4 linked regions of the Alligator mississippiensis genome follow. The protein of the gene in region 3 interacts with the protein of the main gene of each other region in a pairwise test. Links are inferred from orthologs where the notes say so. Each region holds a gene or a part of one and is shown on either strand. Other genes may lie near its edges. The genes, in order: RNF8, ATXN1L, RBFOX2 and HMGA1.

Evidence for each region.
Region 1: the proteins of RBFOX2 (region 3) and RNF8 interact in binary tests that used the Homo sapiens proteins (3 or more experiments, as listed by UniProt). The two-hybrid records come from large-scale screens. The link is inferred for Alligator mississippiensis from reciprocal best matches to the Homo sapiens genes RBFOX2 and RNF8.
Region 2: the proteins of RBFOX2 (region 3) and ATXN1L interact in binary tests that used the Homo sapiens proteins (3 or more experiments, as listed by UniProt). The link is inferred for Alligator mississippiensis from reciprocal best matches to the Homo sapiens genes RBFOX2 and ATXN1L.
Region 4: the proteins of RBFOX2 (region 3) and HMGA1 interact in a two-hybrid assay, tested with the Homo sapiens proteins (2 studies listed by BioGRID and IntAct, with this or other methods). The link is inferred for Alligator mississippiensis from reciprocal best matches to the Homo sapiens genes RBFOX2 and HMGA1.

The regions. Positions count from the first base shown.
Region 1 is NC_081824.1:169,948,851-169,956,344, reverse strand, and holds the start of RNF8 (E3 ubiquitin-protein ligase RNF8), read right to left. Parts: upstream 3,220-7,494; 5' UTR 3,096-3,219; coding exon 3,012-3,095; intron 441-3,011; coding exon 312-440; intron 1-311. Other genes in the region: AARS2 (alanine--tRNA ligase, mitochondrial), read left to right, coding at 3,286-3,519, 4,908-5,096. UniProt on the Homo sapiens protein: E3 ubiquitin-protein ligase that plays a key role in DNA damage signaling via 2 distinct roles: by mediating the 'Lys-63'-linked ubiquitination of histones H2A and H2AX and promoting the recruitment of DNA repair proteins at double-strand breaks (DSBs) sites, and by catalyzing 'Lys-48'-linked ubiquitination to remove target proteins from DNA damage sites.
Region 2 is NC_081833.1:77,569,892-77,577,364, reverse strand, and holds the start of ATXN1L (ataxin-1-like), read left to right. Parts: upstream 1-4,443; 5' UTR 4,444-4,653; intron 4,654-4,744; 5' UTR 4,745-4,796; coding exon 4,797-6,923; 3' UTR 6,924-7,473. UniProt on the Homo sapiens protein: Chromatin-binding factor that repress Notch signaling in the absence of Notch intracellular domain by acting as a CBF1 corepressor. Binds to the HEY promoter and might assist, along with NCOR2, RBPJ-mediated repression.
Region 3 is NC_081827.1:101,111,603-101,119,288, reverse strand, and holds the start of RBFOX2 (RNA binding protein fox-1 homolog 2), read right to left. Parts: upstream 3,003-7,686; 5' UTR 2,720-3,002; coding exon 2,510-2,719; intron 1-2,509. UniProt on the Homo sapiens protein: RNA-binding protein that regulates alternative splicing events by binding to 5'-UGCAUGU-3' elements. Prevents binding of U2AF2 to the 3'-splice site.
Region 4 is NC_081837.1:37,338,039-37,346,049, reverse strand, and holds the start of HMGA1 (high mobility group protein HMG-I/HMG-Y), read left to right. Parts: upstream 1-4,771; coding exon 4,772-4,873; exon of another isoform or gene 4,874-5,259; intron 5,260-5,454; exon of another isoform or gene 5,455-6,601; intron 6,602-7,552; coding exon 7,553-7,675; intron 7,676-8,011. UniProt on the Homo sapiens protein: HMG-I/Y bind preferentially to the minor groove of A+T rich regions in double-stranded DNA. It is suggested that these proteins could function in nucleosome phasing and in the 3'-end processing of mRNA transcripts.

The sequences.
Region 1 (7,494 bases), on a different chromosome or scaffold from region 3:
GTTTCTGGGTTGGGAATAAGGGGCACCAGCAGTGCTGGGGGGCAAAGGGCTACAGATCAGGAGTGAGGGGCACTGGCAGCGCTGGGGGGCAGGGGGCTTTGGGTCAGAAGTGAGGAACACAGGCAGTGCTGAGAGAGCAGGGGCTTAGGAGGGAGGGGCAGAGGCAGGGCACAGGCATATCACTACCCTCCCCCTCAATCATATACCTCTCCCCCTGTTCTCCCCACACCCCTGCTGGCTACCCGTGCAGCCTCCCCCCCCCTGCAGAGGGATGCTCTCTTTTTTGATCCTGGAAATATAGTAACCCTAACCTTGTTGTCTTTGACTGTCCACTGGCCTTCTTCATTCTGCTTGAAAACACAGTGGTTGCGAGAGATCATCAGCGGGCAGATTTTTGATACTAGCTGGTAGGTGAGACCAAGTCCTCGACCGATAGTTACCTAAAAATAAGAAGTTTAACAACAGACATTACCAATAATTGAGAATGGGTGCTCTATATGCTTTGATCTTAAATACAAGGAAAATGGTCACTGAATTTGTTTTGCACAGTGGAAATTAAAGCAGTAAACTGACCTTAACAAAAAGATTACTATTTATAAATTTAAACACAAGAAAGGTAACATGTTGATAAAGTTAAGTGCCAACAGTAAATGGAAGCCTTTGAAAAGTGGAAGTATTTGGGCCTTTTGGGGAAAAAAGAAACAATTTGCCGCCTCTGATACTGAAGACAATGACCATAAAAATAAAGAAGAACAAAGGCTTCAGAGGCTTCCAGATAACCACGTAGCTTCTAAGCGAGGGGTGGGCAAAATACAGTGCGTGGGCCGCGTGCGGCCCACCAGGCCATTTTATCTGGCCTGCGTGGCGCCTAAAAAATTTAGAAAATGAATATTTATCTGCCCCGGCTGCCTGTCATGTGGCCCTCAATGACTTGCCAAAACTCAGTAAATGGCCCTCTGCCCGAAATAATTGCCCACCCCTGTTCTAAGCTCCTCCTTCCTCTAAGGCAGTGATTCTCAAGCAGGGTGCCACAGCACCCTGGAGTGGCTTGAGATCCTTTCAAGGGTGCCACAGGATGCCACACTATGTTAGCACTGTTAGGTATGCAAACATGATTCACAAAATAAACCCAGAGATTTCAAACAGAAATCTTTAGTTGCGGTCTTTCTGAGCTCTTTGCAACAGAACTATTATTTTTCTGTAGTCAAAAAAGGAGTGAAGATCAAGAGCTGGCATCTTCGGAGGGGTGCCTCAAGACTATCCAGGAGTGCCTTGAGTCTAAAAAAGCTGAGACCCACTGCTGTAGGGCCTCTTACCTGAGAGATTACGCTTCAGGTAGAATCGGGAATTTATTCAGCTTTGCTCTTTAAATTTTTAGATTGCATTTTCTTTGCTGCTGTACTACAAGTACCTACTAGCCACTGCTGCCATTAACACCAGAAATTTAACCATGTACAATACTCCCTTGCCCAAGAGATCTCCCTGGGCATTCAAAATCATGTTTTAGTACCTGACAAGTCATATGTTTCTATTCTTCCTAAACTTCAAGAGTTACCTCAGCTAGAAGAATCAGCTGGTTTCCTGCCTGCCTCCTGTATCAGAAAATGAACTAAATTTCAACTGCAAGGGCAAATTCTACCGTTATATCTATGAAAAGCCATGGTGCCTTCAGTGGAGACTGCAGAGAAGTAACATTAAGGAAATTAGCTTTGCTGATGAAGATGAGCCTGGCAGAAAGAAACCAGCTTAATTTTCAGAGCCCACGCTGAGTTTGTAAGCGTGATTGGCGAACTACTTCGCACAAACACGGTAGAACCTTTTTGTATGAAGAGCAAATCAAATCGTAAACTGTGAGCTTCTGCATGCCTATCCAAATTTCCACTGATTAAGATTTCAAGAAAGGATTTTCTTGATTTGTAGCCCAGGTAAGTTATGAGACCTAAAACCATGCATTGCAATAAACTTACAAATATTGGCAGTTAGTTCTCTTCTCCTGCCTGCAGGCCAGATCAATGGCTCAAGGGTTGGACTCTAAGGATGCGTCCAGATGAGCATGCACATGCATTTCCTCGGGGACAAACAGCAGCGACATTTAGATGTTCGGGAGGGGCCACCAGGGTTTCAGTGGCAGCAATCCATACGTGCAGAGGAGCCTAGCCAGCAGCCAGAGTAGGGTTCTGATCATCCAGGCTCTGTTTTTGTGTGGCGCACGCTGCAGCCACATGCCCTGCTCCACTTTTTATTGGTGTGGGTTTTTTTGACACTGGGATCTCCTGTTCTCAAAAAAACCTCTGCAAATTAGCAGTACTATGAACATCTGTATGTGTGGTGCATGTGGTATGTGGCGCCGCTGAAGGGTCTGTGGAACAACAAACCGCACACGTGCGCTTGTCTGGACGCATCCGTAGGCCCTTGGTATATATACACATTACATATATTACACAATCAACTGGTTAACTAAACAATAAATTTAGACCGGCCACAAGTGGAAAGTAATGATCACACAATTAACTGGTTAACTGCACCCTATATTTAGGTCACCTCAAGACTCATCAATGAGTCGTAGCAGAAATCATCCTCAAATCGAGGGGCTGCCCCTGCCACCAGCAGCGTAATTACAGGTGACAAATTACGGGTGCATAGACGTGGCGACGACAGAGCTGGTACACATTTCCAAGCACTAACTTCATAAGCGGTTGGCTCTCTTCAGAGCCAGAGAGTCACTGTCAGAGCATGGCATGACTTTGCACATGTGGCCGGTCAACATTTGCTGCACGACACACCGGTGAATGACATAATATAATGTAACAGGTACCAGGGGCCTTAGACTACCAAAGCCGGGAGTGGGGTGGGGAGGGGAGCGAAAGGCTGGCTCTCCCACCTACCTGACACAGCAAGCGCGAGCCTACCTCAAATCAACATAAAACTCCTCCCTTCCCTTCCCTTCCCTTCCCTTCCCTTCCCTTCCTCCTCCACTCCCCCGGTGGTCGAAGCCCCCCTGGCCCGCGCACCTCAGCGCCGCCCCGCAGCAGCAGCCACTGCTCGTGCTGGCCGAGGCGCCTCAGACACCAGCACCGGCCACCACACTCCGCCATCCCGCCCCGCAGGCAGGACCAATCGCTCCCCTAGGAGAGGTGGGGAGGGGCCTCCGCGCGACTGGGGGCCGCGGCGCATGCGCAGGGGGGCGGCCAGGTGGAACAATGGATGGCCGAGCTAGGAAGAGCGGCGGTGGCAGGGGCTGTTGGGAGTGCGGTGCTCGCGCATGCGCCCGCAGCTGTCCGCAAGATGGCGGGGCTGTTGCGGGGCTTGCGCGGGGCGGGTCGGGGCTGCGCTTGGCGCTGCGGGTATCGCCGCCCGTGCTGCTCCGCCGCCGCCGGCCCGGGCCCCGCCGCGGGGCAGGTGCGTGAGGCCTTCCTGAGCTTCTTCCAGGGGCGGCATCGGCACCGCCGCCTGCCCTCCGCCTCGGTGCGGCCCCGCGGGGACCCCGCGCTGCTGTTCGTCAACGCGGGCATGAACCAGGTGTGTGCGCATGCGTGTTTGTATGAGCACACGCGTCTGCATCCTTTCCAGGGATGGCTACCTGCGTGCATGCACATGCGTGTGTTTGTGCGCACCTGCGTGTGTGTGAGAGTGCCTGGATGGGAGTGCATATACACGTGCAAGTGTGTGTCCATGTTCATGTATGTGTGTGTACATGTGTGTTCCCATGTGCGTCTGGATGGGAGTGCGTGTACACGTGCACGTGTGTGCAGCTGGTGTATCCTGTGCAGGGCCTACCCTGGTGAGGCCACCTGGAAGAGGCTTGTATCCCACACCTGCACCCACCCTTCACTCACGTTGTCAAGCAGGGCAGGGACTGGGCTGAGCCTGGGGGGTGCCTTTCCCATGCCCCAGCCAGGAGGCTGCAGGTCTCGTTCCCCTCCACAGTCATAGGGAAGTAGGGCTGAAAGCGGACCCCAGAGGTTATCTAGTGCAACCCCCTGCCTGAGGTAGGATCATCCCTGTCCAAACCATTCTGTACAAATCATAATCTAGCCTCTGCATGAATCTACCATCAGCCCTGACACAACACAGACCTAGCACCCTAACCTGCCCCAGGTAAAGCAGGGGAATCACAGCAGCCAACATCCTGCTTCTATTAAATGTTGCCAGTATACATTCAAGAGATCTTAGATAGCTACACCCCCTGCTAGAGGAAGGCAAAACCCCCCACAGTCCATACTGGTCTGGTCACAGGGGTAAAAGCCCTTCCTGACCCCAGATAGGATGATCGGTCTGACCCTGAGCAGAGGTTTAAAACCCTCTAGCCAGGAACCTCTGGATTTGGTCCCAGTGGGAGCATTGGCACACCCTGACCAAAGTCTTCAGCCTTAGCTATAGCCAATACGCAGTGCTTCTGGGAAGGCATAAAAGCACCCGTACACGTGTTATAGCAGACAAGGGGAGGGAGGGGGCAACCAGCAAAGCACAGGAAATGCCCATAGTAGTTATGCCTGGATCACCCCCGAGCAGTGTCCAACCTCTTGAAAACCTCTAGTGATGGGGAGTCCACAGCTTCCGTAGGGAGTCTGGTCCACTGTCTCACTAGTCTTGCAGTGAAGAAGTTTTTCTGGATGTCCAATCTCAACTCACTTTCTTGCAACTTGAAGCCATTGGTCCATGTCTTCTCTGCAGCAAGAGAAAACAGGTGCTTTCTCTGTTCTTCAGATATTTGGAGCAGTCCCCTGATGTGCTTCAGCTGTGATAAAACAGAGCCAGTTACTGAGCTGTCCCATCTGCCTATGTTGCAATTAGCCCTTAATTGCCCTAGGTGCCTTCCTCCTTGTTCAGAGTTGCCACAGCACAGTTGGAGTCCATTGTACCAGGCAGCGTCTGAAAATGTTTACACTTTTACATTGCTGTTCTAGTTCAAGCCCATCTTCCTGGGCACGGCAGATCCCCGGAGTGAGCTGGCCCAGTACCAGCGTGTGGTGAACAGCCAGAAGTGTGTGCGTGCTGGTGGGAAGCATAATGACCTGGAGGATGTGGGCAGAGACACTTACCATCACACCTTCTTTGAGATGTTGGGGAGCTGGTCTTTCGGGGATTACTTCAAGGTGAGATGCTAAAGCCAGAGGTAGGCAAAATATGGTTTGTGGGGCTGTATCTAGCCCACCAATTGACTCTGTCCAGTCTGTGGGTGGGTAGCAGCTCCAGCTCCGGCCTCTGGTGGCACCACATGTTGCTAGGTCGAAGCAACCCTGCCCACCAACCCGCCTGGCTCTGCCTCACTGTCAGGCCCCGGCACCCCTGCTCAGGCTGGGCTGGCGGTGCCCTGCCTGCCTGCAACATGGAGCTGGCAGGAACCCCGTTGGGTGCCAGGACCGTGTGGCAAAGGTAACCCAGTGCCTTCTGGTTCTGTCCCCACCTCTTCCCTTGCCCCATGCAGCACTGCAAGCCAGCCCAGCCATCTGCCTCTTGGCTGCAGCCAGCACAGCTCCTTCCTGTCCACCCAAGTGAGGCTGCTCCCAGCATGCTGGGGCTCCTCCTGGGGGAAGGGGAACCACCAGGCTGTGGGGGTGCAGCCTGCATGGCTCTAGCAGGGAGTTGGGGTGGGTTGGAGGGGGCTGCTGGGCTTCCCCAGGCTTTGTGAGAGAGCCAGTGTGGATGGAAAGGAGTGAGGGGCAGGCAAGCGGGTTTGAGGCTCAAGTAGCTCCTAAAGGGTGTGCCAGTGTGCATGCTGAGGCAGGAACTCCCTTGTGATTTGGGGGATGGCTGGGTGATGGCAGGGCTCTGGTGAGGGTGGGGGCATCCTCCCTTGGCCTAGTTTCCTGCTGACTGGTTTTGGTTCCCTTGAGAAAGACACTTTATTTTGAGCTATTACACAATCACATCTATGTACACTGCTAAAAAAAACCCCAAACAAATCAGGACAAAATTTATTCTTTGAAATAAAATTAAAATATTCCATAATGTTCGTTGTTTTTTTTAAGCATGTGATTTGGGTTTTTTTCTATGGTTTGTTAAAATGATATCTTCACCATTAATTTTACATGTGTGGCTCTCAACGGCTCACCAGAACTCACTAAGCAGCCCTCCAGCCAAAATAATTACCCACTCCTACACTAGAGCGTAAAATCCTCAGGGACAGGGGGTCTCTGCAAAGTGTCAGGTGCATCTTATGGCTCCAGAAACATAACTGTACCGGATACAGTCTCTTGGCTGCTTTGATGACTGCATGTTTCTCACAACACAGGCTACATTCTTTGTTGTGAGCTACATGGCTAAAATGGGTGTCTAACCAGGGAATGTGCTGAGCGTATGCGGGTGGTCTAAAATGATAACACCTTCACCAGCTGCCTAACTGTGTGTGTGTGTGTGTGTGTATAAAAAGACTACTGACGTATTAAATATTCTGTTAACTCTTACGTAGAAAAGGGGAGCAGTTTGTGGGGAGTGGAGGGGGGAAGGATGGGTGTTGGGTTACACCAGATAGGAGGCATGGAGTGATCCTTGTATAGAAGTACAAGCAACGCTAGGAAAATTTGGTGAACCTGTGGCTTTAACAATGTATCTCCGATGGGAGCACTGGGTGGCATGCTATCTATACAGAGCTCTTTCCTGCTACTGTGCAGGGAGTTAGAAGACACCTCAAGCGTCATCTAGTCCAACTCTCTGGTCCTGTGACTTCCTGAAGGTAATGGTGACTGGTTTCAGGTGCCTGGTGAACAGGTATCCACACTTCAGAAACCATCCTAGCAGCTGTCCCACTGTCCCCCTCCTTTGGTTGCTTGTTTTGCAGGCTGTGTGGGACCAAATGAACTGTGTGGGGGAAGGTAGGTCTGTCCTGTACCTGTCCCCTGGATAAGAAAAGGGTTCCAGCAGGGTAGGCACTCAGTTCAAAAAGGGAAAATGAAGGCTTGAACTGAGCTCTAGTGCCTCTAGTCAGTAAACTCCCCATTGAATAGGGAGTCACTCTCACTGATTCTCCAATTGACTTAGTGGGTGTAGGCACTGCTAGGTCACATTTAGGAAGCTGATAGTTTTCCACAGATGTCTGAAGGCCTGTCTTGCTTGCCTTGCTGCCTTCATGCTGTGTGATATGCTATCTTTCATAGATTTCATAAATGTTAGGGCTGGAAGGGACCTTGAAGATCATGAAGTCCAGCCCCCTGCCCCAGGGGCAGGAAGTCAGCTAGGGTCAAAGGATCCCAGCAAGATAAGCATCCAAACGTTTCTTGAATGAGTCCAGAGTAGGTGCCTGCACCACTTCTGAAGGGAGTCTATTCCAGGCCTTGGGGGCTTGGACAGTAAAGAAATTTTTTCCTTATGTCCAGCCTAAAACAGTCTTGGAGGAGTTTATGACTGTTGGTCCTTGTTTTTCCTTGGGGTGCTCTGGTGAACAGATGTTCTCCCAGATCCTGATGTACACCCCTTATACACTTATAAGCAGCCCCCGGGTTCCCCCTGAGCCTGCGCTTCTCCAGGCTGAAGAGTCCAGTGGCTCTCAGCCTC
Region 2 (7,473 bases), on a different chromosome or scaffold from region 3:
AGTCATTCAGGAGATTTTGAAAAATCTCACTCTTTGGTGTTTTGAGAAATGTTAAGCTATGTATACACAAAAAGTTCACAATAACTTAAGGAAACTGTATACAACTTAACTAAAGCAATCCTGTCTGGAAGGGACAGAGGTTTTGTCACTAAAAAGTCTTTAATAAGAGTTACTCTAATGTTGCAAACACTAAGAACATGAACAGTCGCACTGAAGTCAGTGGACTTGTTAATAGGTATAAAGCTACATATCAGTTTAAGTGTTTAGAGGATTGGGGCTTAGTTTTTAGAGCTTTTGAAGAGGGGCAGAGGTTGGGGTTTTTTTGTTTTTGTTCTTTGCATATAGCAATTTGGTCAGATTCAAGCACATTACTCTATTAGTACAGGCATCTCCTGAAGAAAGCCTCTATGATTTAGTCCATTATAGATTTTAGATTAAAAAAAAAAATCTAAAGATCAATTATCTCACCATGATTTAAATCAGTGATGAATTTTAAAAGTCAAGTGATGTAAATCACCCCACTCAGATCTACATACAACACACTGCACTCCTCACACCAAGAAGAATCAGGCCAGAGCCAGCTCAAAGCCAATGCTAGAACTCCCCAATTTGCTTCAATGGCAGAGGATCAAGCCCTTTGTGGGTTAAAGGAAAGGGCCATGTGGAATATGGCTAGACTGAAGTAAGAGAGCACAGACAGTTTTCTTCCTAAATGCTACTGAAAAATTCAAATGGGCTTGAACAGCAGCAGTAACACATGGATCCAGACAGGGCAAGAACATAATTGTGAACAGAAGCATATCAGGTCCCGAGGACAGCCCACTGGAGCGCTTCAGACACCAGCGTTTCACTTCATTTTCCATAACATTCATCCCCAAAGGGTAAACCACAAACAAAGGTGGGAGGCCATGCAGAATGGCAAATTAAATAAGAAGGGACTGAGAAGTAAGAAAAGTTATCAGAAACAACAGCATGAAATTCAACCTGGAAACAGAGAAGCTAGTCTCCCTTGGGAAAGGTAAAAAAAAATATTTAAATTGAATGGTGAAGTGGTAACAGCAAGAGACCAGAGAGATAGAAAAGAAACAGGAGTTTGAAAGCAATATGGAAATAAAAAGGGTCAATATTGCTTTGGGCTACACAAAGGTATCGGACAGGAAGAGAGTTTAAATATCAAGACAGCATTCTTGCAAGCCAGGCCTTTAACACCCTCACAAAGGAAGCAGCACTCTTCTCCAGCAGCATTAAAAAAAATTGAAGCAGCAAGAGTCTTCTGAAGATAAAACAATTCCAGGTGGCCCAAAAGTGGAGGGGGGGAACCAATATTGTTCTCTATGATCTTTACTGTGCATAAGGCTCAAGTGTCTGCATCAGGACAGGTTGGCTGAACAAGTGAATATTACCCCTTTAGAAGCTAAGCAATGGAGAGCGGAGGGAGATCACCAAGGCCACACCATAAATCAGTGAGACAGGCAGGATTACAACGCCAGAGTACCCACACCTCAGTCACCACAACCATGCTGCCCTTTACTGTTCTCCTCTGTTCCTGCTAATACGATCAACACTCAGCTCTGGTTTCCGATATACAGATGCATCTTTTCAGCTCCAGAGCAGACCCCAGAACCTCTGGGCTGCTGCTCTAGCCCAGCAGAGAAGAACCCTTTTTCAAGGCCAGATGGAAACCCTGGGGCTCACGGTGCACTGCTTAGGCAGCATCACTGCATGCTGTCAGGTGACCTCAGCCAAAGCCCAGGAAGCATGACCTTCAGAGCAGATGTAGCCTTCAACTTCCCCAGTCCATTCAACTTGTGGCCTCTGCCAAACTACAAGCATGGAGCCAATTACTGCCACCTGTAACACAAGGAGGGGCCCACAAGCAACTCAAGCACAACTGTCTGGCACATTCATCAGGTGACCATGACTCTTCACCACTTACCAGCCTCAGCTTGATTTGCTACATGTCCTGCAATTACCAGCACCAAGAATCCTAATCCAATAATGTAGCTGCCGACACAACAGTAGAGCAGACACTTTGCCCTAGAAAGCATCAGAGAAAGATCTAAAATAGGCCACTCCAAACAAGTTTGCCTATTCCTAGCACGGTAAGAAACCGAAGGTCAGTTTCAGGCTATGGAAATCACCAAAACCTCAGAGAGGGCTTAAACAGCCACTCTCAAAGGGAACGTAAGTTTTCCTTGCTAAGTGCCAAAAATGTGTTAAGAAGCTTCTACCACTTAAGGTCCAGAGTGACTTTCCAAATCTAAAACATGAAGAATCAGTGCAGCACCTGCCTAAGTCTGCTACCATCTCTAGGGCCCGGCTGCTCTCCCGAGCTTTGCCAAGGAGTCGTGTGAAAAGTTCCCAGCCTCCCTCGCTGTCTGTGATGTTATGCAGGACCCTGTGCAGGGCGCTCTCCAAAATCAGACTGCCTTCTCTTGCCGTTTGGCTGGCGTAGGCAGAAAGGCAACACTGGCTTTGTTCACTGGAGCAGAAAACCCTCCAAACCAAGAGGAGTTCAGAACAAGGACAGGCTAGCAGAGAAGTCATTCCCACAGCAGCCACCAGCCTCTTGTTAGGGCCAGAGCAAAGTGCTCATTTTCTCCCTTGTACATCCTAGGATGAGGTCTCAAACCTACCAGATACCTAGCAGGAGGAATATACATGTGAGATCCAGGAATCACACCCATGTAGGAAGGTGAACTCCCAGCCTAAAGGAGAAGCAGAGGGGGTCCATGCTGCTCATACTTGGGAGAGCAAAACTTCTCACCTCAGTTGAACTCTCAGGTGTCTGGTAAAGTGAATCCCCCACAGAGAGCAGATGCAAGCAGATAACGAGAAGCGAGACAGGCAGAGAGAGAGAGAGAGAGAAAGACCGTGCACACAACAGGGGGAAAGGAACAGGCCCTGAAAACAGATAAAATAAGCTTCCAGTGTAGCAAGAGAAAACAGATGCTGAAGCCAGGGAAACCAAGTGTGAAACACACCACAGCCAAAAAAGAAAGCAAGTTATTTTGCAGCAATATATTAAATAGAAAAGTGAAATCTGTAACTGCTCTACTGCTGTGAGCTGCAGTGCTGGGGCCCGGGGCGCCACGGAGGAAGAGGCACCGCCAAGTCGGGGAGTAAGCAAAGAAGCATACACCCCAAGTCGCCAGCACCCCCGGGAGACCCGTTTCCACACCGCTGCCTCGCGCGTCGCACAACGGCTACAACCAGCGCCGCCACGTCGGAGCCGGTCTCCAGGAAAAACACGCTCGCTGCCGGCGGCGAAGAGGCTTTTCCCCTGCCAGTGAACGCAAGCCGAAACAGGAAGCGGCAGTCGCTGTAACGCGCGCGGAGCTGGACAAGCTCGAGGGGACGGTGCCACCATCCCAGGATCCCTCGCCGCGGCCGGCCAACGCGACACGAGCGGCCCCACGGCTTCGCCCCTCGGGACGTGTCGCAGGCGCCCGTCTGCACGCGCAAAATCGCCTGTTCGGGAACAGTCGGCCTGCAGACCGCCGCGCGCGGGCCGGAGCGGGACGCGCACGCCGCATGCGAGCCCCGGGGCGAACGCATGGCCCGCTGCGGCCGGCACCCTCCAGTCCGGAGGGACCCCTGCGAGAAGAAATACCTATCGCCCCCGAGACAGACGTGTAAAACCTTCGTCCGCTTCCTGCTGGTGCCGGGAAAACCTGTCCGGGAGGGGACAGGGAAGGCAGCAGAAGCACACGAGGCGCTGGGAAAGCCGAGGACGGGACGGGGAAGGCGGGCGCGGCTGCCAAGCAGAGCAGGGCCGGCGGGGGCCGCGGCGGGACGGGGCGGGGCAGAAGATCGAGACGGGGCGGGGCGGGGCGAACACCGGGGCTCGGGGCGGGGGGGCCGCACTCACCGGGCCGGGCCGGGCGCCTGCAGCGGACGAGGCGGCGGCAGGGCCAGGCGTTCAAAATGGCGGCGCGGCGGCCTCAGCACCGCTACGGCAGGCGGAGGGATCCGCGCCCTCGGGCGGCGCCCGCTCGGCACCCGCCCCTGCTCGCCCCTGGGGACGCCGCCGCAGCCGCCGCGGCCGCCCCGCGCACTCACCTCGGGCGCGGCGGGCGCGTAGCGCGGGCGAGGGCCGGGCCGGGGACTCCTTTTCCCGGCGGAAGCGCCGCGTTCTCTTGTGCGCGGAGGCTGCGCAGCGCCGTGGCAGGCAGTGATGACGTCAGGCGCTGATGGCCGTGGGTGTCGCGGCTGTACCCGTCCGATCGGGCCCCCCGGCCCCGCGCCAAGGTTCCGCCCGCCAGCCGGCCCCGCCCCTTCCTGTCGCCCGCCGCCCACTTCCGTCGCGCCCCGTGCCTTGCCCGCGGCCTCGGGACAGCCCGTGCGGCGCTGCGGGCCTAGGCCAGGTGGCACGAGCCCAGGGCACCGGCGCTGCGCGGAGCCCGCTCGGGCCGCCGCGCGCTGTGTGATGTGCTCGACAGGCCGGCCCGGGCCCGGGCGGTGCCCGGTAGCCATGGCAACACAGAGCCAAACGTCATTCCCGTGCGCCCCAGCCCCCGCGGGGTGAGGCGCTTCCGGCGCGCGGCCTACACGTCATCGCCGCGCGCCGCGCCGCGGGGAGGGGTCGGGTCGGGTCGGGCCGGGCCGGGCCGGGCCGATGGGGGCCGGGGCGGCGGCGCCGGGCGATGGCGGGTGAGTGGCGGGGAGGGGAGCGGGGTCGGGGCCGGGGCCGGGGGGCTCGGCGGCGGCGGCGCTGACGCTGTCCTCCGCCCTCCCCCCGCAGGTGAGGCGCAGGCGGCGGCGCGGAGCGGCGGGGCCCGCGGGCCGGCGGCAGCATGAGGCCGGCGCACGAGCGGAGCCAGGAGTGCCTGCCCCCCAAGAAGCGCGACCTGCCCGGCGCCGCCAGCCACGACGCGGCGCGCCCGCCCCTCGGCGCCGCCAACCACGCGCCGCCCGGCGACGGCCCCGCCTGGGCCCGGGGCGCGGCCGCGCGCAGCCCCGCGCCGCCCCCGCCGCCCTCGCGCTACGGGCCGGCCGGGGAGGGCGCGGGGCCGGGGCCGGGGGCCGAGGCGGGGCCGCCGCTGGAGCCGTACGGGCTGCTGTACAAGGTGGCCGTGCCGCCCGCCGCCTTCCCGCCGCCCGTGGTGAGCATGAGCCCACTGCCGCCCGCCTTCGGCGTGGCCTCGTCGCTGCTGCCGCACGCAGGCGTGCCCTACCCGCCGCTGCACTACGCCCAGCTGCCGCCCGCCTCGCTGCAGCTCGTGGGCCCGCACTACACCGTGCCCTACGCCGTGCCGCCCGGCTTCCTGCCCGGCCCCCTGCTCTCGCCCTCCGCCGGCCTGGGCGCCTCGCACGTGCCCCACTTCGTGCCATACACCTCTCTGCTGACCGAGGAAGCCGCCGCTGCCGCCGCCTCCCCTCCGACTACCTCTCCCGCCCACGCCTTCAGCAAGCCTGCCTCTGCCCTCTCCCCCTCCAGCCAGGTCCAGCACCATGCTGGCGCCCAGCCTTTGGACATAGCCCAGGGGAGGCTTCCTGTTTATTACCACATGTCCCGGCTGCCCCCGGGCTTCTCTGCGTACGAGATGTCTGCTGCCGCTGGAAGCCCGGATCCTCCCGCGCAAGAGAATCAGCTGAATTCGGACGCAGCGTCTGCCAATGGCGGGCAGAGACATCTAGAGCATCACGTGGTGCGGAGGACTGGCGAGGCTGTGGACTGTGCCAGCAGCAAAGCCGAAGCCCAGCTGTGTGGGGCGGCCGTGGAGTGCGTGTTGGATGGACAGTTCCTTTCAGGTTACCAGACTCTGAGAGCAGAGGTCTCTGTGCCAGCTCACAGAAGCACCCCGGATACTGACCTGGAGGTACAGAGGGTGGTTGGGGTGTTGGCCTCTCAGGATTACCCGATTCTGGCAGCCCAGAAGAAGGATGGCCTGAGCCCTTTAAACCTTTGCCATAACATCCCTGATCAGCAAGGGGAGTCTGGGGACTTGTGGAGGAGTCCCATGGAGGCGGCTGCTGCTGCTGCAGAGAAGAGCCAGCCCAGGAGCCCATATGCAATGTCCCCCGAGGAGCCAGCCAGATACAGACAGCTAACCAAAGGAATGGCGATAGCCAACGGCAAGCCGGTTTTAGTGCCGGTCGGGTCCGAGCCCATCAGGTCTTCCTCCTCAGAGACCCTGATACGGCAGAGTCCCAACACACTGGCCCGGGGGAACATGCTGGACAAGGATTTGGGCCCGGTGCAGCCCCCCAGCTCCTCCCATCTGCCTTCCCATTTCATGAAAGGAGCCATCATCCAACTGGCCACCGGAGAGCTGAAGCGGGTGGAAGATCTGCAGACCCAGGACTTTGTGCGCAGTGCAGAGGTGAGCGGGGGCCTGAAGATCGACTCCAGCACAGTCGTTGATATCCAGGAGAGCCAATGGCCTGGGTTTGTCATGCTGCATTTTGTAGTGGGGGAGCAGCAGAGCAAAGTGAGCATCGACGTGCCCCCAGAGCACCCCTTCTTCGTGTATGGCCAGGGCTGGTCCTCCTGCAGCCCGGCGCGGACTGCCCAGCTCTTCGCCCTGCCCTGCCACAGGCTGCAGGTGGGGGATGTCTGCATCTCCATCAGCTTGCAGAACATGAATGGCAACTCTGCTTCTCAGGCGACCTGCCCTCCCGCGACCCAGCTTGTGCCTGCCAGGGAGCGAGCTGACAGAATGGTGCAGGGGTCCAGAGAGCACCCCCCTGCACCTCTGCACAGTGAGAGGAAGAGCCAGGCAGAAAGGGACAGCGCTGCCCACGCTGCCTGTGCGGAGCCCTCCCAGCCTGAGCCGGGTGGCCAGCACAGCTGGACAGCCCCCAACTTCCAAAGATGTACCACGCAGGGGGAGGAGCCCCGGCCATCCCTGCTCCGTCCCTCCTTCATCCCCCAGGAAGTGAAGCTGTCCATTGAAGGGCGCTCGAATGCCGGGAAGTAACGCTGCGAGGCCCTCACCTGGGTCATGCCCCTGGCTGAGCCCCCCTTTGTCAGGTGGAGATTTTGCACAGACTGAGCGACGGGTTGACCGGCGAGGCTGCTGTCTGCCTGCAGAGCTGGTTCGGTTCCTGTTCAGTCACTGATCAGATCCTCTCCTGGAATCCAGAGGGCTCCAGTGCCTCAGGGAGCAGCAGCAACAGGCGAGTTAGGGATGGAGGATGGGGGATGTGGTCATGGCTGTGTGGCCACAAGCATTCCAGAGCTCGGGGCTCTCGCACGCCCCTGAGTGCCTGAGCGTCCTGCAGGCCGGGGATGGAGCACTCGGGGGTGGGGGCGGGAGGGGCGGACCCAGGAAGCCACAGCCCAAGGTAGCAGATACAGTATCGGAAGTGTTTGTTCCTCTCTATGGTGGTGGGGAGCTGGGTCCCTGCGGGGGCCAGGGGCACCGCTCCCAGCCTCCCCACTTTTCACACATGCACTTTAAAAGGACACTTCGTCACATGTTGAGCTCTTGGGGTGGGGGCAGGTGTTTCTCCGACAGCCTCTCCCTG
Region 3 (7,686 bases):
TTTGACCTTCCCCCCCAACCCCTGCTTTACCTTTTGTCTTTCTAATTTCTACCTATTTATATTCCCACTGACATCCTGCCACTCTTTTCGCTTCTCTCATTCCTCCAGCATCTCAGACCAGCAGAGACTCCCTATGCCTGAAGAAGTGTGGCAGTGCCCAACAGCTTGCCAAGAACTTTTTTCCAACTACTCAGTTGGTCTAATAAAAGACATCACATCTACTAAAAGAACCTTGCCTGTGTATATCAGAGTTCATACATTCATTCATACAATAGACTTCCATAGAATATACACAGCTTCCCTCAACACTGAGCAGCTTTTCCAGCGCAATCCTGCAGATTTACGAATTCACAAAAATACCACTTTGGCCACAGAGAAGACGAGAGTGCCTTCCGGTGACCCTTGCAGGGGCATGGAGTACTGCAAACAGCGAACGTGAAGTTCCAAACCAAGTTCAGACCATATAGTGATGCGAGAAAGGAAGGTTACAGGGAAACAAGCAGGAAAGAACAAACACACAGAAGAACTAAAACAAACAAAAAGCTCCACACCCTCCTGCTTCAAAGTAGTCAAAAAAGCCTTCAGCATGGTAACTGAATAGAAGCCAGAACAAAAAAAGTGAAGAAAACTAGTTGTGTAACTACTGGCATTTGAGAAGGGTCAGGAGAAAAAGCTCTGGGCTTTCCCTTCAGAGACAATCAACACAAGCCACAAATCCAGAAGCAACTCCGGATGAATAGCTCACACTGTTCTCAAGGCATTCCAACACCTTCAGTTCAAGAAGCAGTCGCAAGAAGCACTGAGACCACCTGCTCACTTGCCTAAGCACAATAATGCTACATTAAATATAGCCAAGGAAAAAAGAACAATATCCAGAATCCCAAACGACTCAAATAAATGCATCTGGAAAAGGAAAGCACAAAACACTGACCAAAATACACTGGGGCAAGACAACAGAATCTTTTCTCTCTGACCTGTCTACCCTCAAATCTAATGATGAGAGGTAGCACTCTCTTTGTCAACCCTGGAAATGTCTCATGTGATGTCCCCAAACCTTCCTCCTCTGTTACCAGGTACACCGACAACTATTCAATATCATTTGCAAACAAACAAGAGCAGGAGCAAGCCAAGTGTCACTGCTGACAAGAAACATGTATGTTCACTATATGAACTACCCCCTTCTACAGCATCCCCCAGGGCAGAGGTGTCATTATACAGACATGAATACAGTATAAAGAAGAGAGAGTCAGGGGGAGAAATACAGTAGTGTAGGAAGGGGAGGCCCAGTGAAGAGCAAACAGAAAAAAACTACTAGAGGAAAGGGGCCCTCAAAAAATTAAAAATGTTCACTGCAGTGACAGACAAGGTTCCTTGGGTGAATTTGATATCTTTTATTAGACCAACCTAAATGGTTGGAGAATAGTTATTAAGCAAGCTTTCGGGTTCAAAAACCCTTCGTCAGGCTAAGGAAGCTGTAGCAGTTGGTGTGCTCTTCCTGCAGTGACGTGCCCACCTGAAATCAAGAGTTCATACCCATCTTTATTAGTGCCAGAGTGGATGCTAACATGCCCTGGATGCTAACATGCCCAGTCCCCCTTGCCCCCTCATCCTGCCCATGCGGTAGGTACACTTTACTACGTACACTGAACGTAGCAGCTTGCGGTCCATCAGGCTCTAAACTAGTATGGGCTCCCCTAACTCTCTGATCTTGTCACTCAGTAAAAACTGGCTAGGGACGGGTGGAGGAACAAACAAGGCCAGTAACAAACACCTTTCACTAGCTATATGGGGAGACGTAGTTCTAGGCGGATGCCCAATTCCAGGGGGTGAGGGACTTGGTGGCAGAAAACATGTTTGAGGAGAGCAGCCCAAAACTCTCAGCCGCTGAGTGACGCAGGACTTTTAGCCTAACTATCAAGGCAATTTCCTATGAAGCAAAGCATTCAGGGCTGCGAAACAGCTCCTTGGGGACAGTGGCCTGCGCGTCGTCCTTCCTGACACACGTATGACGCCCTGACTTCGCAAAGGCCGCTCAAAGCTTGCCCGGTCAGCTGCGCACGCAGGCAGCGCGTACCTGGAGGGCAGGTGGCTCCGGCTGAGTCCAGGCAAGACGCACCAACAAGTCTGACCCCAAGTCTTACCTGCTTAAGCCAGCCCTGGGCACACTGACAAGGGGCTGCGCAACGTCAGGCTGCCCAACGTCAGGCTGCCCAGGCTGCGGGGCAGCAGGCCGCACTGCCAGCACAGAAGCAGGCGCGGTCCAAAACCCCGGTGTGAATTCAAGGCCACCCACAATGTTTGTGTTTTACCAGCAGTAAAGTTGACATCAACTTTTTTTGGAGGGGGTTTAAAGCCCTGACTATGGCGGTGCCCAGCTCCGGGCTCTGGGCCGCGGGTGGGGGCCGAGGGGCAGGACACGCCGCCCTGGGGGGGGGGGCCTCGGGAAACCACGGCTAGAGAGAGGCCGGCGGGTGGGGGCCGCTCGCTCGCCCGCCCTTTGCTCCCGCACCTGCATGCCGCCGCCCTCGGCCGCCTCCGCCTCCGTCCTCAGCCGCTTGCTGTGACCGCTCTCGGCTCCGTCCCCGCCAGGCATGGGCTGCTCCGGCTCCGGCTCCCGCTTGATGCCCCTGGGGGCCCCGCCGCCGGGGAGGAGCTGCTGGTTCTGCGGCTGGGGCTGCGGCTGAGGCTGCGGCTGGGGCTGGCTGCCGCCCTCCGCCATCCGCGCCCGCCGGACCCCGCCGCCCCGCGCGCCCTGCGGGGGCCGCCGCTGCACAGCCGCGATCCCTGCCGCCGCCCGGCCCGGCCCGGCCCGGCCCGGCCCGGTCGCTGCCTGCCCGCCTGCCCGGGGCGATGCCGCGCTTGGGCTCGGGGTCGGGGAGCACGCGCCTCGCTCCGACCGCCGCTCCACACCGTACCGCACCGCGCCGTTCGGGATCGGGCTCGCGGACTGGGCGAGAGAAGGTGGCGGGGCCCTCGGCAATCTCCGGAACCGCCGCCTGGGCGGTGCGACCCCCGCTCGGCAGCCTTCGGCCTGGGGGCGGGGCCTCGGCCGGCCGGGCGGGGCTGGGCTGGGCGGGGATGGCGGCGGCGGCTGGGCCAGTCTCGGAGGCGTGAGGCGCTGGACTGCTCCTGCCCCGCCCCGCCCCGCCCCGCCTCGCCTCGCCCGGCCCGGCCCGGCCCGGCCCGGCCCGGCCGAGCCTCGCTGCCCGGCCCCGCTCAGTGTGTTTGCAGTGGGGGGGCCGGGAATGACGCCTGGCAGGGGCCACGCGTAGGGGGTGCACATGCACCCCCTGCGGAAAGGCGCTGCCAACACTGTCGGCTGCCTGCCAGCCCCCCCCCCTCCGCTGACACCGCCGGTGGCACGTGCTGGCGGGCTGCCCTCCCCGCTGGCCGCCGCCGACACTGCCAGCAGCGTGTGCGGGTGGTCGCCAACCCCTGGTCAGCGCTCACCACCACCCAACCAACAGTGCCGGCGGCGTCTGCGGGAGCTTCAGCTTGCCGCCGCTCTCCCACCGCCGGCGCTGTGCGCCCAGCCTTGTTCATGACCCCAGGAACCCCCAACACACACGCATGGGCCAGCTCACCCTCACACGTGCCCCAACAGCCACACACCCCATCTGGGCTAGCGCAGCCCCTCACTCATCCTCCCCAACACATAGGCATGCACCCACATCCCTACACACACACCCCAACACAAGCATGCACATACCCCACCCAGGTCAGCACAGCCCCACACGCGCACCCCAACACATCCTTCCCAACACACACCCCCACACCCCCCAGGGCCAGCTCAGCCCCACACGATGCTACAAATAATCCCTCTTACTCTTTACACAGCAAAATTGGGCTCCCTGTTCCCCCTGCCATAAAGCCTTCAGAAGCTGTTTGGCTGAGCTGGCCCCAACAAACAGGTCTCCTTCCTAGCCTCCACCCCTCGACTTGACCCCGCAAGGCCTCTGGAATAAGAACTGCTGTTTGTTGGGTCAGACCACAGGTCTGTCTAGCCCAGCATCACTGGGTCACACGGTGGCAGACAGTGATCGCAGACAGGGACAGTGACCTGGGTCCGGCCAGGGTTTTTAGAATCATAGAATTGTAGAAAATGAGGGTTGGCAGGGACCTCAGGAGCTCATTTACTCCAACCCCCTGCTCAAAGCAGGACCAGCCCCAACTGGATCATCCCAGCCAAGGCTTTGTCTAGCTGGGTCTTAAAAACCTCCAAGGACGAAGAGTCTACCACCTCTCTGGGTAACCTGTTCCAGTGCTTTACTACCCTCCTAGTGAGAAAGTTTTTCTTAATATCTAACCTAAACTTCCCTGCTGCAACTTGAAACCATTGCTCCTTGCTCTGTCGTCTGCCACCACTGGGCACTTGTATACATGACACCATTACCATGTCCGCATGACAAAAATGTCACTTTGTGTGGCTTGATGGCGTCACATGGCATGTGCAAGACTTTTGAGGGTGTTAAGTGAGTTTGCATGGTTGCAAACTAAACTACATCTGGATGTAGTAGTTTGCAACATTGCAAATTGCAACAATCCAGCTGTCAACTCACCACCCCCCTAGCTGCAGGAGAAACAAGACGGCTCCATAGAAAAACAGGATCGGGCCCTTCTCTGCTTCTGCTTTCAGCAGGCTCCTCCGGCTGGCAGGATGCCTGGGGCCATCCGGGAATGGGATGGTTTGTCCCTAGGGCAGTGCAGGACAGCAGCAGGAGGGCAGCTGGGTTTGCTGGCAGCTGGAAGAGGTGGCGGGGATGGTGCACGAAGCCCTGGAAGCTTGGGTGGGCTCAGGGAAGCATTGCATTGGGCACCTCTGAGCTGGGGCAGCACCTGGCCAGCTAACAGTTCACCCGGGCTTCCAGCGCTCTGTGCACCATCCCTGATGCCTTCTCCAGCTGCCAGCTAACCCAGCCACTCTCCTGCAGCCTTCCCGCGCTGCCCCAGGGGCAAGCCAGCCCATTCCTAGGTGGCCCCAGGCATCTTACCAGCCACAGGAGCCTGCCAAAGACAGAAGTAGTCATGCATGAACAACGCATGCCCCCGGCAGCTGGGGGAGCATGGTGGCTGCAGGAGCGCAGTGGTGGTAAGCAGGGAAGCTCCTGCAGGCGCTGTCAGTGGCAGGAGGGGAGGGGAGTGGGGGCGAGTGCCGACCAGGGGTCAGCAACCACCCACAGACCAGCAGGGATTGTGAACCGCCCACAGATGGCACCATTGGTGTCGGCTGCAGGGTGGCAAGCAGCGACTGCCCACAGGTGTCACCGACAGTGTTAGCAGCACCTTTTAGTAAGGGGTGCACCACCACGCTCAGGGGATGCACATGCACCCACGTCCACCCGCTACATGTCACCCCTGCAGTCATGGCCCAATCCTCTTTTTGTATTTTGGCAGAGCCTGCCTGCCTCTCCCGTGGCCAGAGGCTGAGCTGCCGGCAGGCCAAGTGGCCCCTGATCTGTTGGGGAACTAGTCCTTCCCTCCGCGGTGGCGGTGCACCCCAGGGCCATGGGCTGCTAGCAGGCCGGGTCAGGGCCAGCCCATCCTATCCTGCAAAACCTGCGGCCACAGGGGGCCCCACAGCCAAGGGACCCCTAGCGTCCAGCCACTCACCACCCCCACCCCCTGCCACTTCATGGGCCTTAAGGCCCACCCATCTAACTAATAGCCCCCACTGTGTGAAGCCAAAGGGTGAAAGACACAACTAATTTTTTTAATTTGGGGGGGGGGGGGGGACAACTGAGGAAAAAGCAGGATAGGCGTGACCAGGGGTTCAAGGGTCAAAATGTGAAAATAAGTGCGCCGGGGGGGAACGACACTGAGTAGAGCCCCCCATCCCACACCCACTGGTCCTCAAAGACATCCAAGCAGCTGGTGGAGGCTGCCCATTGATGCTCTGCCTGGAAACATGCATGGATGAGTGAGAGGAAAGGAGCCCCGCATTCCTCAGGCACCTTCCTGGCCAGCGCCTCCTTCCTAGTTATGTACAGGGCCCACTTGGCCAGGGCCAGGAGGAGGTTGACCAGGAAGTCCCGGGACTTGGTGGGGCTGCAAATGGAGTGCCCAAAAATAAAAAGGTGTGGGGGTGAAATTCATCCAGAACCTCAGGAGGAGGTTCAGAAGGTGGAGGTGGAGGTGTTGCATCCTGGCGCACTTGAGTGTCATGTGCGCAGGGGTGACGCATAGAGGGTGCACATGGGTGCACGTGCACCCCCTGAGCTTGGCGGTGCACCCCCTACAAGAAGGGGGACCGCCACCTGCAGGCGGTCACTGCTTACCACTCCCACCGCTGACACTGGCAGCGGCATCTGTGGGCAGTCAGCGATCACCGCTGGCCAATGCTGATGCTGCTGGTAGTGTCTATGTTTGTCTGGTTGGGGCTCGCCTGCCCCCCTATGATGATACTGTTGTTGGCGTCTGTGGGAGCTCCTGCTTACTGCCACCGCACTCCTGCTGCCATCATGCCCCCCCAGCCGCCAGGGGCATGCATCATTCCTGCATGTGTGCCAGGGCCTGTGAAGCTCACCACATATATGCCTGTGGTGATGGCTCCATGGAGGAGCCACCAGCTGAGGTCCCCAGTGGCTTGTGGGATGAAGGCAAAGTATAGGCTAAGCCACTGGGGTGCCCCAGCCATGCCCTCACTGAGCAGGTCCCGCCACTTGGTGTCTGGGCAGGATGTGAGGGCAACATGATGGATAGTGCGGCACATGAGCATTTAGAGGTGGCAGCGACAGACAGTGGAAAAACAGACCGGTTTGGTGTCCTCCAGCCGGCTCAGGTGGTGGGATGGGGAGTGCTGTGAGGCTAGGTGAGGCGCCAGCCTCAGCAGCTCACTGCTGGCTGCAGGCAGGCTCCAACTCCAAAAAGAAAAAAAAAATGATCAGGCCCCCTGCTGTAACACGATGGAAAAACTGAAGCAGCGGGTTTCAATTAAAAACCCACCACTTCGATTTAAGGGGCATAGAGGAAAACTCTGAGGGCTAAACCCCTGTCATATGTACAAGCACCCATTGAGAACAAGTCTAGTTGCAACCTCCTAGGAACCCCTCTTCAGGTAGTTGAAGGCTGCTATTAAATCCCCCCTCAGTCTTCTCTCCTCCAGACTAAATAAGCCCAGTTCCCTCAACCTCAGTTCATAAGTCATGTGTCCCAGCCCCCTAACCACTTTCATTGCCCTCCACTGAACTCTCTGTAATTTGTCCACATCCTTTCTGTAAGGGGCGAGGGGCACTGTTTTTCCCACTGTTCCTCTCCCACTTGCAGCTTGCAGCATTTAAACTCTAGAAAGTTCTTATTCAGAGGCCATCCCCCTGCCTCCCATGCTCAAATCGCTCCTTCCCCTTTGCTTTTCCTTGCAATTCTCAGCACTAGACTTTGTTTCCCACCATGCTCCTACTTGCCCGTCTTGGCTAAGCATGTTTAGAGTGCATCATAATCTCACTGAGCTAAGTAATCTTGTTTCATTGGCAGATTTTACCATGAAACTGTTTATCCTCTGTTTTCCAGACTGTCAGCAAGCAGTGTAGGTCTCAGAGTGCCCTTTGAGAGCATCGCATCATTAATCTCTTTTGTCATGTTGAAAAATTACTATTTATACCTACTTGATTGCCCATCTCATAGGACCCACATACCAGAAATTTTTCCCAGTTATACACTATAATTAAACAAATAGTTACATTAGTAAAC
Region 4 (8,011 bases), on a different chromosome or scaffold from region 3:
ACTGTTTGGGAACAGATTTATTTTGACAGTCTTGTCTGGGGGCTGAAGGGGCTCGTTGTTTTGGTGAGATCTGCCTTTCACTGCTCACAGGTTTCATTTCCCAGCTGCTTGCTGATGCTTCCTGAATTGGACCTGTTCTGGTATCTGCCAACTAGGAGGTGGGATTATTCCAAATGCTGATGGCAAACAACTTACCTTCTGAAAGAGCTGGCATTTTAAACCTTGTGAGCAATAAGGGGGAGGAACATTGAGCCTTTAACCTCCGAGGTTGAGCTTGGGGATTTGATTCTGCACACATCTCAATGTAAGGGCTTGCCGGATTGAGTCCCAGGCCAGTATGGAGGAGGGGGGGGGGGGGGCTACAATGGTTTTAAACACTGTTTCTTCAGTGACTGAGCTGTTGGGTTGGAGGCTGTGGCACGAAAGATGCCTGACAGCGGTTATTAGTTGGGCAGCCTCAGTCTTAAGGAGTGAGCAGTAGGGTCCAAGCCCCCTTTCTGTTTCTGCAGCTGCTGGGAAGTGGGGCAAGACAGCAGCCCTTTGGCATGTCTGTGTGTGTTCATGCATGGATGCATGCCCTGCTGGTTTGGGGTCGTTGATGATACTCTGACATAAACCATCCTCTGGTCTAGCTCTGGGCTGAATGCAGGCATGCCTGGATGCAGTCCAACAGCCCATGTTAGGCAGAAGGTCAGTTCTCAACCCCATGAGACAGGACCCCCTCAGGAAACCCTTTTTCAATACAGAAAGAGACTAGTCTTCTGTTTGCAAAGGACTCAGGGAGACCACAACAGAGCAGAGCGGTTTTAAACACTTAAGCATCCCTGCTTGAGGTCTCTGGGCATATCTGCTCTACCACGTTTGCCCACCCCAAAGCACTCTTGAAAGGATCCCAAGGCACCTCAGAGAGCTACTGCACCCCGGTTGAGAATCACTAAGCTAAATAGCTGGCCTCTTTTTGGCTTAATCTATAAAAACGTATGCGTGATAGTACATTAAAGCTTCCAACTTCTGGCGCACAGAGGGCCTGCTGGGCATCTTTGTGAAATCAAGGCCATGGGTCAAACCAAAGGTGCATGGGATGGTCAAAGTTATGGACTGCCTGAGCTTCTTTGGCCCCATCAGCTGGCACCTCAACGAGATGAAAAGAAGTTTTAAGACGTGGGCATAGCGGGCCCGATCTTGCTCTTGGTTGGCGCTGGAGTCACTGCTGGCTTCGGTCGTGTGAAATAACGGTGATAACAGCAGGCCACAAATCCGGCAATCTGGTGTCAGCTCCCCGCTGTCCTGCAAACTCCTACCTGGTGCCAGGGGGATAGAAAGCAGCTTCTTGGTGGAGCCTTGCTCTGACCAGGTCCACGATGACCATCCTTGGAGAGGGCACCGGGAATTGTGCGCGAGCTGCGGCAAAGTGGCATTTTTCAGTCAGCTGAGAAAAGCTGGGGGCAGAGTAGGATTTTAGGAACAGGAGGCCTCACTGGCTGCAGGATTAGGACAGGCAGGTTTTTACTCGACAGGCGTGGCCTGTTCCTGTTAGACCCCTCTCTCTTCCTAGCTTCTGGCAGAATCCACTGAAAAAATAGGAAAGGCTACTGCAGGGTGCAGTTTGCTGTCCACACATTGAAGATCCAGCTGTGGACAGTCCACAGGGTGCAGAGATTTGGGGTAACAGAGGTAGTTGAACCAGAAAATATTATCACTGTAGCTGGGTGGGGTTTTACTGGGAGTCGTGCAAGCAGAGTGAGAAGTTGGCCTTGAGGTTAAGGCCCCTTCTGGGCTCTCTGCATACCCTTGGACGCGTCACCTCTTCCATCTGTGCCTCTGCTTGCCCAGCAGTAGAGCGGCTTGGTTAAAACTACTTGGCTTGTCCTGTCGACTGCCCTCTGCGGGGGATGAACTCACTTCCTGTGGCTTTTGTACAGCACCTAGCAGAGCAGGGCCCTGATCTCAGCAATACGAGTATTATAAAGCAATGGGACCGCAGCACAGAAGCAATGCAGAGAAAGCATGGCCGAGACAGGAAAGGATGCACCGCCCAACACGTGGGTCGACACGTGGAGCAGGGTCCCCCCCAGAAGATAGGCCTGGTAGATAAAGATGCCCTTTACAGTCCTACCTGCCACAGCAAGATTGTTCTCCATGGCACATACGCTTAGAGCTCCACGTGGTGCAGTTGCATCCTTCCCTCCCTTCACCAGAGCTGCACAAAACCGCCCTCAGCCCAAAGCACTGGACAGTACATTAAATCACATATTCCCCCATCTCCCAGTTGGGAGACCACATGCTCCCAACACCGCTTCACCACACCTGAGCCCTCCTCAGCTAGGCAACGTGGTACCCCGCTGCAGCCAGGTTTTCAAAAACACCCTCTATTACTGGGTACTTCAGAGCATCTATGCGGACTCGGTTAGAAAAAAAAGAGCCCAATTCCCCCAGAGGCTCGACCTCAAAATGCATGGAGTCGGAGGCCACTTCTGAAAACTGAGATTTGGGATAAGAGCCAGGTGTGCTTCACAGGGCTCCAGCTCAGACTGGAGCTCAGTGGGGTCCAGACAAGAGGACAGCCACTACGCTGACTCCATCACGGGTGCAAATCAACTAGGAGCAAATATAGGCTGCAAAGTTAGGAGGAGGTTTCTGAGCACCCAACGGTTGAGGCTGTGGAGCAGCTGTAGGAGTATCTAGGGCAAGACACAGCTCTCTTTCAGGGGCAGCAGCTCCATCAGCTCAGGAAAAGGCTTTAATAAGGTGGGTGCCCACGGACACAGGGGATGAACTCCAATCCCTTCCAGCCCCCCATTCCTGTGTGACCGTGGTGAGCTGCTCTCTCCTCTCATTAGCACATCAGACAACAAGAGATCAAAAGCCTTAAGTGTGGAGGAAACCCCAAAGCTCCTTGCACTGCTGCTCCAAATGCAACCACTTCATAATGCAATGCAACAGTGGAGGAAACGGGGTGAAAGCTGGGAGTGGACACCAAGAAGCTCCCTCCCAGGAGATCACACCGATTGGAGGGGCCTGGATCATGCTGTCCAGCGCGGGCGGGCGAGAGGGGACAACTAGGACAGGTCGACGCAGAGCTGGGGGAAAAGGAGCTGGACCATGACAATCCTGTGCATCACCAGGGATCCGGGTTTTGCATTTCCCACGGGAAAACAGAGAAAACCATGGATGGATTTCCTGATTTTAGCAGGGGGAAAAAAAATGGATGTTCCTCTTTTAGCAGAGAAACCTGCGGATTCCCTGCTTTTGCAAAGAGCTCTGCAGGCAAGCAGAGTTGCAGCCTGCAGGCTATTTGCAAAAAGAGCGGGAAAGCCCCAGGCCTGCCTGGAGGAGGAGGGAAGGAGGGGGGCAGGGCCTGAGGCTATCACTCCCCCCAGGCTTGGATCAGGCTCACTTCCCCTTCCTGGAGCCTGGGAAGTAAGTAGGGCTGGGGGCTGCCCCTGGCAGGGGCCCTAGGTGGTGGGTGGGGGTGACTGCCAGGGCTGGGGGAAGAGCCAGCAGGGCAGGGCATTGGTGTGTGGCTGCAGGAGCAAGGAGGTGTTGGGGGAAGCCCCCCATGGAGCACCCACCCATGCCACATGGCCCCAGAAAGGGGGGACCCATGCCCCCCAGATCTGTGTGCAAGGGGCAGAGCGGGTGCACGCTGCCCTCCCCCCCAACCTCTGCAGTGCAGCGTGTGTGACCCTGGACGGCAGGGCACAGCAGGGAGGTGCACGAAAGCTGCCTGCTGCTGCGAGCTCTGCGCTGCCTGGGCCACACCTCCCCTGTGTGCGCAGGAGCAGCGGTGAGGGGCACAACCGTGTGCTACTTCCCCTTGTGCACGCAGGGGAGGTGCGACCCAGGCAGCGCGGAGCTCGCAGCAGCAGGCAGCTTTCGTGCGCCTCCCCGCTGTGCCGTGCCGCACCAGGTTGCACACACTGCGCTGCGAAGGTTGCAGGGGAGGGCAGCAGGGTGGGAAGCACAAGTCTGCAGCGTGCACCCGCCTGCCCCCTACCCCCCTGCACACAGATCTGGAGGGCACGGCCCCCCCTTGACACCCGGGACTGCGCCGGAGCCAGCCCACAGCAGCAGTGGGGGAGCCGGCTCCTGCTGCAGCAGCCATTGCCTTCTGCACGGGGCTGGGGCCCTGGCTCCATAGCCCTGGCACCTGTCCCCCCAGCAGGCCTTTAATTTTAATAACGGAGTTTACAATTTTTTTAAGTCAGAGAATCTGCAATTTTTTTTATCAGAGAAAACCAGGATCCCTGGTGATGACTTGCTCTCCCCTCTCATTAGCACATCAGACAAAAAGAGGAGACCAAAAGCCTTCACAGTCTGAAGGAAACCCCAGACCTTGTCCTACTGCTCCAAGTGTAACTGCTCCATAAGGCAATGCAACAGTGGGGGAAAAGGGGTGCAAACTGAACGTACAAAGGAGGGGACACTTGAGCAGCCCCCTCCCAGGAGGTCATAGCCACTGGAGGGGCCTGGATAACACTGTCCAGCATGGGCAGGCTAGAGGGGACAACCAGGACAGGGTGACACAGGGCTGAGGGAAGGAGCTGAACTATGACAATCCTATTCAACACTCATTCACCAACTGGGCGTAGGACCCTCTATGACTCACTCTTGCCTTCCTTGGGCTTCAGCTCCCTCCCATCAGTGAAGCAGGGATGAGAGTCACCTACACAGCCCAGGTCACAGAGAAAGCATTATATCCATGTCACATAGAAAATGCGGCTGACTCACCCTCCTGTCTTCTCTCTTGCATGACCCAGAAGATAGAAAAATGAGTGAATCCAGTGCAAAATCCAGCCAACCCCTGGCTTCAAAACAGGAGAAGGATGTCTCCGAGAAGAGAGGACGGGGCCGGCCCAGGAAGAAGCCGCAGGTACAGAGAATTTTTTCCTTCCACCCTGCTCTAGAGACTAGGAGAGCTGGGTGCTGGACATCTACAGCGAGGAAAGGCATTTTCATGAGTTAAGTTCAGCCCTGGAAATACCTCTCTTCTTAACCCCCTCCGCATGGTCTGGAGGGTAGGGCACAGGGTTGGGATGTCAAGGCCCCCATATCTCTTCCCAGCTGTACCACTAACATACTCAGTAGCTGACCCCTAACCTACCCATTCCCACAAGCATCATGCTGCAGCTTTACACGCGATCGCACACAGTTCTGGAACAGGAGGTGCAGAGCTGCCTTTGTACAACATTGCAATTATGCTGCTTCCTATGCAAAGCTAGTGGATACAGAGCTAGCTCAGGGGTCTCTGCAGCATGCCTAGCAAAAAGGAAAAAAAAAAAAATCACTAGTATAGAGGGCAAAAAGAGCAATGCACCTTCCACACCTTGCTTGGCCTGCCAGGGCCACGGGGAAAAAGCAAGGCAGTGGGAAGAAGCATTAAGGCATAAACAAGGAACAAGGCAACTCCTTCCCCAAGGATGAGGAAACAGCCTAGGTTGCAGAGCCACTTACTGGTATTAAAGTCACAGTCTGACTCCCACATGTTGGGCTCAGCCTGGCAGAGGTGAACAGCACTCAGCTCTTCTTATGGATACAAACCACAGCTCTGTTTGCTGTACATGGACAGCAAGGACCTGTAGGACTTCTCCCAGGGAAAGAGCCTAGCAGAATTTCCCTACCAAAGCACTCCCTCCTGCTCAGCTGTTATAGCAGCAGCATCTGCCCCAGAAAGAGCCTATCCAGACCAGTAGCACTGTATTGAATTCATCAGTTACTTGGTCCTACAGGCATTTAATTCTGTCCTCACTGCCAGGCCCAAGGGGCTCAAAATGCTCCAGCTAAACACTGCCCCTGATCACAATCTGTGAGACCCTACAGCAGGAGCATTTATCAAGTGAATCCTACCAAACCCATCACTGGCTTAGCTGATCTAGGAGCCATAATGCAGACAGGGCTTCTGTGGGTGAGGTCCTTGTAGTCATGTCAATTAACCCTGCTGAAAAAGCAAATGCAACCAGTGCTGATGGAAGCAGCTGGGTGCTACTCAAGCTCCAGCCAGTTCTGCTGAAGCAGGGGGATTTTGCCTGGGTCTAAATTCCCCAAATACAAGCCCTGAGGCACAGGCTTGTGACTTCATCTCTGTTCTGCCCTGAAACAACCACTTGGGCCGCTCAAGCTGTAATATGGGGAAGGGACCCAGAGGGTTTCTCCCTATTGTGTGGAACGGCAGCAGCTAATTAGCATCCTACCTGCCCCTTCACTTGTGTTCAGGCGGGGATGATTGACTGACACCTTTCCTTTATAAAGCCCATATGTTGCAGGTGTTATTAAGAGACTTGCTGAGGGCTGGGCAGTGAATCAGTGGCCAGGCCCAAAGTGAAACCTGTTCCAGTAGCAGAGCCCTGCCCTGGGCAAGTGGCATCTCCCTGATGTGCTATTGCTGTAGCAATAGCTTAATTACCCTTAGCACAAAACAAGGGAAAGCTGACAGACCCAAAGCACGTATCATGGGAAAGCTGACGTACCCAGAGCATGTATCATGGGAAAGCTCAGAGCCTAGCTCTTATCTCTGTCAGTGGAGTTGCTCTGGATTTACACCAACCAGCCCAGGTCAGAAACTGACCCCTGGTATCTTTTAACCAACCTGAGCCAGCAACTCCCACCTCCTTCCTCTTCCGGCGGCAGGAATATTTGCCTGGCAGGGCTCAGATTGGTGGAAGGAGGCCATCACTCTGCAGGGCTGGGGGCAGGGCTGCCGGTGTTGGATTACTGGTTTTCTAATAGCCGCAGCTATAAACAGCAAGCGACGGGGTATTAGAAACTGTAGCTGCGATGCTCATATCTCCTAGTGGAATGCATAATTCACAACATTTTTATGAGTCTCCCAGCATTAGGGTTTCTTGACCCTGAAGCTGGGGTGATTGATTGCATTTTCTGCAGGGGAAGGGTTTTCTGATGTCTCCAAGATCATTCCCAGAGCTTTGCTTCTTCTGCTCCAAATCTGGGGTGGGGGGGAAGCATTTAGCTTCTTTTGGGCAAGCTGATCTCCTTCCCTCCCTCCACTCCCCTCCAGGTTAGGTCCCTCAATTCAGGTAGCCCCTATCTGATCCGTTCCCCTACCCACTCCAAAGCAGCAGCTGGTGCTTCCTGTCCATAGGTGAGTGGCTCACATTCAGACACATCTAATCTAAGCACCGGCCCAGCCTCACTGTCCGTCCGCTTTAAATTCTAAGGACCGGCCCTTTGAAACTACATGTCCCAGCATGCACGGCTGCAGTGCAAGTACCCTGCAGGTGCTGGCTGGACTCTGCCAGCCCCTCCCTGCAGCAGCTCCCTCTCCGACTGCAGTATCCCAAGGGATTTGGATGGAGCAGGGAGGATGGCTCTCCCGAGTGCATGCTTGCCATCACTTCTAATGACACTGAAGGAGTGGGGAGGCTATGCTCTTCAGTCTCCGTCACCAAGGGCCCGCCTGCTGCGTCTTGCTGGGAACCCCCCATTTCCGGGACAGCTGCTTTTGGGTGGGGAGCGCAGGGAGCTGGGATCTTGCTCTGCTTTGCAGCTTGGCTTTGCTCACTCCTGTCTCTCTTCTCTTTGCTTATCACCATAGATCCGGGCATCCGCTGACAGCCTTGCCCTTTCTCTTCAGCAGGAACCCAGCGAGGCCCCGACCCCCAAGAGACCACGTGGCAGACCAAAGGGGAGCAAAAACAAGGCCACTGCCAAAAGCAGGGTAGGTACCTGTGGGGGAAGAAGGGAAGAGGGAATCGCATGACCTTTCCCCATTTGCTGCCTCCAAGTTGCCATGGTTGCTTATTGATGCTGCTCCTTGGCAACCTGGGGCCTGCTGGTGTCTGGGTACCAAAATGCCCTCCTCCCGAGGAGGCTGGCAATGCCGCAGTTCAGGTTCCACGTTGTGTCTGTCCCTGGAGGACGGCGGGGAAGGGAATCCCCCCACATCAGGCTCCATGGGGAAGCATCTAGCCCAGCCCTGCAGCCAGGCATGTTCTGGACAAGACAGAGGAGCAGCTAGATTTTGAGGCTAAGGCCCGATGGTTATCCACACGGA